3 linked regions of the Saccharomyces cerevisiae S288C genome follow. The gene in region 1 interacts genetically with each later gene. Each region holds a gene or a part of one and is shown on either strand. Other genes may lie near its edges.

Region 1 (4,180 bases):
TTTGCTCGGTGATTACATCATAATTAGTGAACACACGCAGCAAACCGTGATCACTGCGAGTATTCTACTCTTGTCATCCCAGACTACAAGTAAATCATACTATCTCTTTACAAGCTGAATGGAATGGGGCTTAGCCGACTGGAAGGATAGGCTTGCCAAGGAAAAACAAAGAAAAAAAGGCGAGTGGATTTAAGATTCAGCGACCGCCTGTCTTCCCTTCCTTTTTCACCATAGTTGACATAACACTTTATCTTGTCTTTATATCTCTTCTCGAAGCACTTATGATAACCGACTTCAAAGTCAAGGTACATAATTATTCAACGCCTCTAATTTTTCACTTGTTATGAAGCAAGTGCTGAGACAACTGGCCAATCGATGTTATAAACAGGCAGAACAAAAGAAGTAAAGATATTACTCTGTTACGTAATATTAAGTAGTGCCGCACTATACATGTAGATATGCATATACTGTTATGGTAAAAGGAATATGCAAAGAACTAGACATTTCTGATCTTTTCTTTTCTTGGTTATGATCATTAGAATGGTAGAGTCTTGTAGAGAGGAAAAAGTAGGAGGTGACACCGTATATTTTGGGCAATATAGTCATGGAAAGTGATATCAAGCAATCATGCAACGTAAACATCAACTTATTCCCGTTTAAAAGTGAATTTTGATGGAAGTTTTTCAAACCAATCCAAAATTGGATCATTGTCTTTCGTGTCGACATATTCGCCATCCTCGATGTATTCCACAGCAACAGTATCAGTCAATTTAGGATCCCTTAGACATAAGGAGAATGCAATTAATGGAACACAAAATACTAAAGCCACGATAGTTTCCAATCTTTGAACGTATTTGTAAGCGTTCATTAAGGCATTCCTTTGTGGGGTACCCCAAGTATAGGTTTCAATGAAAGTATATGGAGATTCGTAGGCAGTTGTGGCTAGAGCAACATCACCCATTCTCTTCAAAATTTGTTTGTACAAAGTCTGAGTCCAAATGGCACCGGAAACTGCGGAACCGACAGCAGAACCAATTCTATAGAGGGTATAGTTTAAAGCTGTAACTGTCGCCATGTTTTCATGAGAGACGGCAGATTGTACAGAGACGGTAACTGGGTAAGTGAACAAAGTAGTGCCCACACCCCAGACACATAATGCACCAATAATACCTGAATGGGACTGACTTCCACCTCTAAAGTGGTACAATAAACCCATAGCCACCATCCATAGCGCGCATCCAAACATTATGAATGGTTTCAATCTCGTACATCTTGTTACAAGTAAAGCGAAAAATGGAGAGGCCACAGTAGAGACAAATGAAGATAATGTGGCAATTCTGGTTGCAGATTTAACGGATTCATTGACGGCAACAATCATAACCGTGTACAAATAATCAGCGGCCATATAGTAAATAAAATCAATCAGGAAAGAAATACCCATAGAAGACCATACAGCCCTATCTTTGACCAGCCTATATGGAAGAATTGGATCTCTAGCGAATCGATATTCCCAAATCCATAAGATAGGGATCAAAACAAAGCCAAGAACAAAGGGGCCGATCAATCTTGAATCATTCCAGGTAGTTTTGACCCCACCAGCCAAGGTCAGTGGGACCAAGATACAACCTAGGGAACAACCCATCAAAAGGACACCAACGACATCTAACATCCAAAATAATTGCTTTAAGATCTTAATAAAACCATGTTCTTGATAATAGGACTTCTGGCCCTTCAAAGCGTGCCATTCAGGAGTCTTTCTGGCCCTCCATTGCATGTGCAACATACACAAAACGATTGGAACACATGATAGGGGAAAGATGAAAGCCCACATACCTACATCCCAAGACCAGTTGACAACAGGATTGGCTCTGGAAGTGATATTACCAGCAATCCATGTGTTGATGATAAAAGGCCAAGTCGGGACAAATTGATACAGCAGTCTCCACTTTAAAGATGAAAAATCGGATAGGATAATCAAAAGAATAAGGATTACACCCACATAGCCAGCATTGTAGAAAATGGCACCTGCAGCGTATCTTTGAACATCATAAGCTTGTGATTGAATAATTGTACCCACAACATATAGGATGACAGCACTAATGAAAAGGTATAGTCTACCAAACACATCAGACAACCTAGCGTATATGATTTGCGAAGCGGCACTGACCACAGCATTAATGACGTTGATTGTAGACAGCAGAGAATGCTCACTATAGGATGATGTGGCGTAACCAGTGTAAATATAACGGATGTTACCGTCCAGTCCATAACCGTAGCCACATATGAAAGCACTCAAAAGTAAAATCGCTTGTAAGTACCATTTATTGTAAGCAGAGCCAATGATTTCAGTCTGCTGGATAATTAGGCTCCTGTTCTGTCTCAAGGCATTGTATTTTTCAGATAACTGAGGGAGACCATATGAGTCGGAGTTGGAATCGTTATGAGTCTCAGGATTCAACTCGTGTTCCATTCCCATGAAGACATGTTTCTTTTCCTCCTTAACAGGATCGCGAGAGTGAACAGACTCCATTAGTACGTTGCTATGCAGTGGCTTGAACTACTGTCCATATATTTTTAAGAAAGAAAACAAGAGATATAGTGAACGAAAGCAAAAAGAGAGCTATCGAATGTTTCCTCCCCTATATACAATTATTCCTGAAATCTTCAGTTCTATGCATCTTGCATTACTTCATGTAAACTGTACTCCGATTTGCTTGGCCTTTTTTTCTCTTTGACACTATTTTCCTAACGATATGTGCTTGTTATATCACACCTGCTTTTATGGGTGCATTTTGATAAATTTGCAATCCCAAACAGGAAAGAAGTGAAAAAGGCCAAGACATATGTGGCTTTCTAACAAATACAGGCACACAAATTTCGTAAGAGAACAAGTCCTAAAGATGAACGTTAATGATAATATACAATTGTCTTCTCATTTCTGTTGATGGATTTTCATTCGCAGGTGTATTTTTCCATCGCTTCGTGATAGAGCTGCCAGTACGCTTCATCGCGGTCGCTTACATGCGTGATATTTAGGGGATCTTTCATTGGCTTCCGATCAGATAATATGTATCATTAGTCAGCGGAAGTTACAGGTGGAAACCCTCCCCACCTTGATAGTTGTCTTGATTGTATAGGCCTGTAATCTATTACTATTATTCTATTGGAGTCCTGCTCGTTGTTCGTTCAAGGCGAATGTGCCTGCGATGAGTTGACTATGAAAAAGAAAATTTTTCAACTTGAACTTGACCATTCCAACAAAGAAGAAATGATGGAAGTAAAAAAGACTAAGGAATCAAGCTTGGTGAAGCTACCTCGTCATTTAATTAACGAACTTCTGCATGATCACCCAAACTGAGCTAGATAACTGCTTACAATGGGCTCAAAATAATGGAGCCTTCATCGATCCGAAAATCTCTTTTAGGATTACAGAGGATGCTGGTGTTAGTGCATTTGTAAACGAAAAATTCTCTCCCAAACCCGACCAAGCTTTGATTAGGGTACCCGAAACTCTGCTGATCACTTCCCAGCAAGCTTTATCAGAATTTTCCCAGGCTGCTAATGAAAGGAGTCTTTTGAATTCCGTGACACAGTTGTACTTGTCAAAGTTGAAATTTGGCACCGATGCAGTTCACCTGAAATCCTTTTACAAACCATATTTAGATGTGCTACCCTTGCACCTTCCACAACCATATTTTTGGTCTACTGATGAAGTCATGAATTTGCATGGTACAGACGTGTACTTAACTATGAGAGATACGCTGAACAAACTAGTAAAGGAGTGGAGGATGCTGTTCCAAGCTTTATCTATTGAACACTCTTCTCAAGATAAGCAGTTCTTGTCTTTATTCCAGGAGAATAAAGACTCTGCCGTAGTGCCGTTGGAACAGTTCTGCGCACACATCAATGGATGTAAACTAGAAGATTCGGAATGGAACTCGTTCGTGGCGTATCTTTGGTCGTACTGCATCTTTAATTCTAGGGCATTTCCTCGTGTCATTTTAGGCAGGGCCGGTACAGACCGCACCAATCTGAACGAAGGATTTTTGTATCCAATAGTAGATTTATTAAACCATAAAAACGATGTACCAGTAAGATGGGAGATGAATGAACAAAATGAACTTTGTTTCATGTCGCAGACTACCACATTTAGTGCACAGGATGAATTGTTTAATAATTA
Region 2 (3,289 bases), on another chromosome or scaffold:
GTTTACTCACACCTGCAGTATTAGAAGGATTAGAAACTACCCTAGGAGTAGCAGTGGTTGGGGTATGTAAACCAAATTTGGCTGATTTAGACGCCGATGGAACGTTTGTGTTTATATTAGAAGGTGGCTGGATATTCGATGAGGCCTTTCCCTGCCTAGATGATCTTGAACCGCTTCTAAAAAGTTGCATAACTTTAGAAGATAGCGCATGTTTCCTTGGAGTTTGCTGAGGAATAGCGGCATTATTATCATTCATACCAGTCATATATTTGAGGGGTAATGTCGAAATAAAATAAAATCTGATTACTTTTTTTTTGATTACAGGGAATAGTAGTCACAATACTTACTACTAGTTAATATCTAGCGGTAAATGGAGAGTAAAAAAAGGTTGAGAGCCTAATATTAGAAAGCTACCTTAAGCTTTCCAGTTTTTATTTGTAACTTAAAAACGCTTAAAGGCTTAGTACAACTTATTGAACAGGACTTTGAAAGTCCAAATTTTATTCGATAATGTTAAAGTGAATAACAACAACCCAGCAATAACAACAACAACAACAACACAACAGGTTATAACGAAACCGACAGGAAATCGTCAAAAAAAAAAAATGATAAAAAATTCTTAAAATCGAAACTCCAAGTAAAGGTCTATATTAGGGTTTAATAAACTTTTGCTAAAAAAAATTGCCGAATATCTCTATAAAGTAGTATATTTTCTTCTCCGTTTCCTCTTCCCTCTTTAAAAGCTGTAATATTATATATACTATTTGTATAGCGGAAAATGCGTGAGATGGCAAGAGCTCGGCCTGTTAACATATTAGCACGGGGAGGCCGATGTTGATTTGATGAAATGACGTGCCAGGTGATTTTTCCATTCGCCATGCCGGGGGTTGAGAAAAAATTTTTTCTCCGTCGGAGATAAAAAAAAAAAAAGAAAAGAAAAATTAACGACCCCAGTGAGGGTTGAACTCACGATCTTGCGATTAACAGTCGCACGCCTTAACCAACTTGGCCATGGAGTCATTTTATCTTGTGTCACTTTTACAGAAAAAGTATTACTAATATATGTTGAAAATTTTCCAACTACCCTTCGAGTATGATTTTACAACTGCGTCAAAGAAACCATGCAAAACAGTTGACTAATATCGCAACTGTTTTTTTTTCTCATTGCCTTTGAAAGAATGGAACACTCCTCACCACGAGGTTCTAAAAACTATACCAACCACAGTTTGGACGTACATCTGAAGATGGCATCCAATAGCAGCGGTATTCATTTGTGCGGGCTGGATTGAAAAAAGCATCACAATTATTGGGGCGTTTATTGTAGTCTTTGAACCGAGATAATCCAGGTGTTAAATATTGGTTGGATATGCATGCAAAATTTTCAGCAAAAACGATGGAAGCAGAACAAACAGTGCTTATCTTTGCTTCTGCTCTTGTGTAAGTCTAAAGGACAATATCTTTGTTATTAAGCACTCTAGCTGCCCACTGTATAAACAGAACTTTTGACAAAAAGTCTAGCCAGCGATGATATAATTTGCCTGCACAAAGAGTTTACTATTAGTAGCACAACTAAGTCATCGAAACGCTTTTAGTGGACAGATCTAAAGTTACAAATATTTAGGTATGCGTAAAAGGGTAATTAACCTAGTATCAAATGAGTCGAAGCCCCGACCGCGCCCAGAAGAAAAGCCATTATCATTTAGGTGACGCCTTGTTCTAAGGCTTAGTTAATAATATTCCTTTCAACCAAACAATGACCTTCCAAGGTGTTCAGTAAGTGGCTCTCATTTTAAGTTAGTTGGGTATTATACGCCTTGTATCCGGGGCTATGCTTAGGTTAAATAAGAATACTGCTTGAATAGCTCAAGTTTACAAAATAATTTAAAAAGAGTTTATGAACTTCAATAAAACTTCGAACCTGAAAATGTAAGTCTGTGTTCTGTTTATATACACCAGTCGGTTGTCTATACCATATCAAGACAAGAAACAAAACTCCGTATCTGCATGCAGCCTCATTTAGACAACAACAGTAATAATGACGATGTCAAATTGGATACATTAGGGGAACAAAATGTGTTATCATCCGCAGAAAATATCACTTTACCTGAAGACACCTTTAAATCATATATGACCTACTTGCTGTACGAGATGGCTCATTACAAACCGATGATATTTTCCTTCTTGGCACTTTCAGTTTCAATTTTAATAGTTGTGATCTTTCATAATGTTAAAGCTTGTGATGTCGTTTTTGGTTTTTCAATTTTCGTCACTTCTATTTTGTTTTTGTCTACGTTGATTCCGTTTAATGTGTATATCTCGGATGAGGGTTTCAGAATTAAGCTTTTGCTGGAAGTTATCACCCACAGGCCAGCGGTAAAGGGAAAAGAATGGAGAGCAATCACAGACAATATGAATCAATATTTACTTGATAATGGTTTATGGAGTACTCGCTATTACTTTTATAGTAGTGAAAGATGCTACAAATTCTTCAGATTTCTTGTGAAAGAAAAACCCCCAGGTGTGAATGTAAATTCATCGGTAAAGGACGCCACAAGTACGCAGATAGATGCACCAGCAAATGAGGCTTCAAATGAGGTAATAAAATGCTTTAGTTTCAGTTCTGACCCAATATTCGAAGCATACTTTGTTAAAGCAGTAGAAGTTGAGAAACAAGCACAACAGGAATATTGGAGAAAGCAATATCCTGACGCCGATATACCATGAAATATAAATCTTGATAATTTTATTTAGCACTTATACTGAGCGATGTACCAAACCGATTCTAAATTCACAATTCATAATGGAACTTAATCGTTTATACAGTATAAACAAGTAGAAGTATTTTGACAGAGATTAATAAATTTGTGCCACACGAAGGGGCTTTCTCACAGCTAATAATATTGTACAAACTAAAGGATAGAATATGCTGTGGTGCAAGTTGGGTGCACATTAACGTATTGTCGTGCATTCCCTATCATTTTTAAGGGAAGGAAATTAATTCTAATGGCTAGTTACTTACTCTCAGGACTCCATAATTAACATGTAGCAACTGAAAAAAGAAATTTTGCTGTGAATGACTTGTGCTCAAGATAAGCTTCTTTTTCTGAAGGTTTGTTTCTTATTGCGAGCACTTTTTTCTGTATATAATGTAACAGTGAAGAGCAGCATCTATATGTTAAAGTGCTTCATGTATGGTTAAGCAGGCTTTGCGGCTAAAAAAAAAGGAATGCTTATTACCCTTTTTTCCATACTTTTGTAGCTACCTAGTTTCTTTCTCGAATGTTTCGCG
Region 3 (4,207 bases), on another chromosome or scaffold:
ACAGCTTCTCATAACTTATGTCATCATCTTAACACCGTATATGATAATATATTGATAATATAACTATTAGTTGATAGACGATAGTGGATTTTTATTCCAACAGATATATTAGTAATATGAACACTACTAAATGGATGATATTTTAGAATTTTTATTCCAACACTTACAATAATACTAGCCCAAAGATGATAACTGACTCTGATTCCAACACTGTGGATTGAGTTGATAACACCCATTTATCAACTAATCCTGTATTGAGTTTTTAGCTAAGGTGGTTAGAGCATAGAAATTGAGCGGATTTAGCTCAGTTGGGAGAGCGCCAGACTGAAGAAAAAACTTCGGTCAAGTTATCTGGAGGTCCTGTGTTCGATCCACAGAATTCGCATTTCTATTTTTGTATTTTTCCATGAATTGACGAACTCTTGCAAGTTGAAGAAAGAAAAATAAATAGAGCCAATTATTTAATTTTTTAATAGTTATTATTATGTAGATAAATACCAGTAAAATTAAGCCAGCATAATTAGAAAACCGCATGTTCTTTGGTTTAATTATGTTTTGAAAGTGATTTCTTGTTTATCGAAACGGCGCCTTTTGTCTTTAAAAATTGAAGTAGGTACCATGCCGTTCGCTCTTAAAGAGCCAACCATTCATCCCTCAGTAAACAAATCCATGTATTTGTCGATTTGCATATTCAAAAAGTTTGTTTTTGAACTTACCTTCATTATAAGGTCGACTTTATCAGGGCTCTCTACAAAATGTTCGCGCAGATGCCTTTGAAATTTATTCATTAGTAATGGTATTCCTTCCTCTCGTCTAAATTTGTGACCAACAGGGTACTCTACAAAAATTTCATCCAACTGCGTCCCATCGTTCAGCTCTATGAGAAGAGCGTTTCCTATCGACCTTTTATCAGGATCGTGATAGTTTTGAGTGAGATGAGTATCTTCGATACAGTACATTTTCGATCTCAAGTTATCGATCTCAGGATTTCTTGCGACCTCATCCGAATAATCAGTAGCTGTGAGATTACCAGTAATCAGCGGAACCGCGATCATGTACTGGATACAATGATCCCTATCGGCATAATTATACAGAGGACCGGATTTATCTATAATCCTCATTGCCGCCTCTTGAGTTCTAATTCTGATCGATTTAATATCTTTAAAAGTTTTCCCTTGTTTGGCAAGAATCCTATATGCTTTTACAGCAGCTTCTACAGCAGTTTGCGCATGGAATTCGGCAGGAAATGATATCTTGAACAGAACGTTTTCCATGACGTAGGAATCATATTTTGATCTTTGTTGGAATGAAAAAGGTTTACCCTTAAATAAAACGTCATAAAATCCCCAGGTTCTAGCTGTTAATACTGAAGGTATCGTGCCAACATTAGCATTTTTGACTAAATAAGCCAAGTTTACAGCCCTCGAAACTGCATCTCCCGCCGCCCACGACTTTCTAGATCCAGTATTTGGGGCATGACGGTAAGTACGCAGTGATTGACCGTCTACAAATGCTTGTGACAATGCTTCAATAGTTTGTTCCTGGCTCAGGCCCAGCATCTTCGAGACAACACCAGCCGTTGCTACTTTCACGAGTACCACATGATCTAAACCTACTTTATTGAAAGAATTTTCGAGCGCTATAATACCTTGGATTTCATGCGCTTTAATCATTGCCTCTAATACGTCTTTAACAAGAAACTGTTTTCCATTCTTTCCGTGGGTAGCCTTGTTTAATCTGGACAAGTGATCCGCGACAGCTAAAATTCCCCCAAGGTTATCTGATGGGTGCCCCCACTCGGCAGCTAACCAGCAGTCATTGTAATCTAACCAACGTATTAGAGTACCAATGGCAAAAGCTCCCTTCACTGGATCCATAACGTAAGATGTGCCCAATATTTTTGTTCCACTGGGAACTATTGTTCCTGGCACAATTGGTTTAATAATATTTTGAGCCTGCTTAAATTTCAAAGCCGCCAAGCCACAGCCTAGAGTATCAAGGAAACAGAGTCGTGCTGTATCTAGAGCCAAAGATGATTTTAATGGGGTTTCATGGACATATTTCGCGATGTCCTTCAAAACCTTATCTGGATTTGGTCTTTCATTAGTTTGTATAGACGCTGTACTCAGCGCAGCAAATTTCTTTTTAGGCAAGCATACCTTGATTTTATTATTTTTTAGATTTTTGGCTAAAAACATTCTGTTTGCTCTCGATCATCAGAGAACAGTAGAAAATACCAAAATACTATTTGAGAAAGTCCTAATAAGTTATACATACATTATGGCAGATTTATATACCTTATACACTTTCTTTGGTCATGCTTTCACATTAGTGAAGGTAAACATATGAGGGTAAAAGTTGAATGACTAGAATGTGGAGAAATAAGGTCATCTCAATAAAGTTTGTAAACGGCCCGAGGTCCGACATCGGGGAAGTGGCTACCTATAGACAGCATCATATATCAGAGAGATTGGGGACGAAAAGCGCGATGTGGTAAAAAAATAAGTCAAAACTCCAGAAATAATACAATCAGAGAAAAAAAAAAAAAATAAGAATATATTTTACTAACGAGATTGGAATTGCTGAATAATTTTTTGATAGGTGTGTTAACCGACCATATTTTCCCCTATATGTTTTCATGATGAATATGTATAAATTAGCTATGATTAGACATGCTGTATGGAATTTTATTTATATTTCAATATTGTAATAGCAAACGAAGCATTCTTGTAAATTGGAACTGCGTTACAACTTGTTAACATTGCTTGCTTTGGTAAGTGCTTCCAGACCCTCCAAGTTCAAACTCTTGGGCCTTTCAATTGGTAAACCTAGAATGCGATCCCAAACAAGTTGTGTCAAGGGTCCCATGGCCCTTGAACACCCAAAAATGACGGTAAAGAATAATAATTCCCTGATTCCATAATGATAAAACAAAATCCCCGATGCAGAGTCAACATTGGGAAATGGATTCTTACTCTTTCCGTGTTCCAACAAAACCTTAGGCGCTATTTCTGCCAATTTTTGCATCAACAAAACGTTCTTGTCGTTCTCAAATTCAATAGGCCTCTTTTGCGCAAATTCAAGCATTGCTGTAAATCGAGGATCCGGTTTACGCAAAACTGCGTGCCCATAACCGGGGATCACACGGTTTGAATTCAAAATTTTCCAAAGATAATCTTTGATTTCTTGTTCTCGTGCAATGCTGGAAATATTAGAGTTCATCTCTATGAGAAACCTTACTACTTCTTGTGCTGCTAACCCATGCAAAGGACCCGCTAATCCCATTATTCCAGATGAATAGCTGAGATACGGGTCACTCAACGCACTTCCAACCAAGTGGGTGGTGTGAGCAGAAACATTACCACCTTCATGGTCTACATGTATACCGGTATATAACCGCATCAAGTTTATGAAGTCCAGGGATTGCTGGGAAGTAAGGTTGCATGTATTAGAAGAGTTCGTTCCATTTGTCATGCCGAGCAGGGAACATATGTTTGTACACCAATCCACCTCCTCACTATATTGACCTAATGGGTGTCCCTCATTTGTAATGTTCGAATAAATTCTCCCAGTCAGCAGCGGGAGTGAAGCAATTAAATTTAGCGAATCTTCAAGAGTATCTTTCCAAAATTCCATCTTTCCTATGAGGCCCTTTTGGTAGTTTGTAGCAAAGAGGGATCCTTTGTTCATTGATGCTAAACCAATTGCAAGTTGGGTCATAGGGTGCATATCTTTGGGTAAACTTGACAAAACTTTCTCTGTATAATGTGGCAATTTCCTTCCACGAATAGCCAATTCTTTCCTGAAAGAAGCAGCTTGCTGGAAAGTTGGCACACCACCTGTCATCAACAGCCATAACATTGATTCTGGCAGGAAATTATCGCCATCAATACCTGTATTAGGTAATCTATTTTGACATTCTTCAATCGTTAAACCTTGAAATTTAATGCCATGTTCGGGATCTAATGATGTTCCTTGCCAAAACATTGACTGATTACCTCTCATCCCACCTAGAACTGATGAAATGGTAATCGGTCCGACAAACGTGCTGCCATAACAGGCCTTCAATTTCTTCACAGCATCTCTTTTCTTAGGTATCACGTTTTCTAATGCTTCCTTGAGAGTCAATGCAGAAGACTTTATAATTGCAGACGAATTGAAGGACCTTCTGCATATATGTGCGCCCGGTAGAAGCCTTTGTACCATT

Evidence for each region.
Region 2: mutations in ARN1 (region 1) and DFP3 together harm fitness more than expected from each alone (negative genetic interaction), as found in Saccharomyces cerevisiae (2 studies listed by BioGRID).
Region 3: mutations in ARN1 (region 1) and PDH1 together harm fitness more than expected from each alone (negative genetic interaction), as found in Saccharomyces cerevisiae (2 studies listed by BioGRID).

Annotation. Positions count from the first base shown.
Region 1 is NC_001140.6:18,442-22,621, forward strand, and holds ARN1 (siderophore transporter), read right to left. Parts: upstream 2,531-4,180; coding exon 647-2,530; downstream 1-646. Other genes in the region: EFM1 (protein-lysine N-methyltransferase), read left to right, coding at 3,342-4,180. UniProt on the Saccharomyces cerevisiae protein: Involved in the transport of siderophore ferrichrome and so has a role in iron homeostasis.
Region 2 is NC_001135.5:125,446-128,734, reverse strand, and holds DFP3 (DUP240 family protein), read left to right. Parts: upstream 1-2,004; coding exon 2,005-2,724; downstream 2,725-3,289. Other genes in the region: serine/threonine protein kinase SAT4, read right to left, coding at 1-265.
Region 3 is NC_001148.4:556,376-560,582, reverse strand, and holds PDH1 (putative 2-methylcitrate dehydratase), read right to left. Parts: upstream 2,199-4,207; coding exon 648-2,198; downstream 1-647. Other genes in the region: citrate (Si)-synthase CIT3, read right to left, coding at 2,746-4,206. UniProt on the Saccharomyces cerevisiae protein: Catalyzes the stereospecific dehydration of (2S,3S)-2-methylcitrate (2-MC) to yield the cis isomer of 2-methyl-aconitate.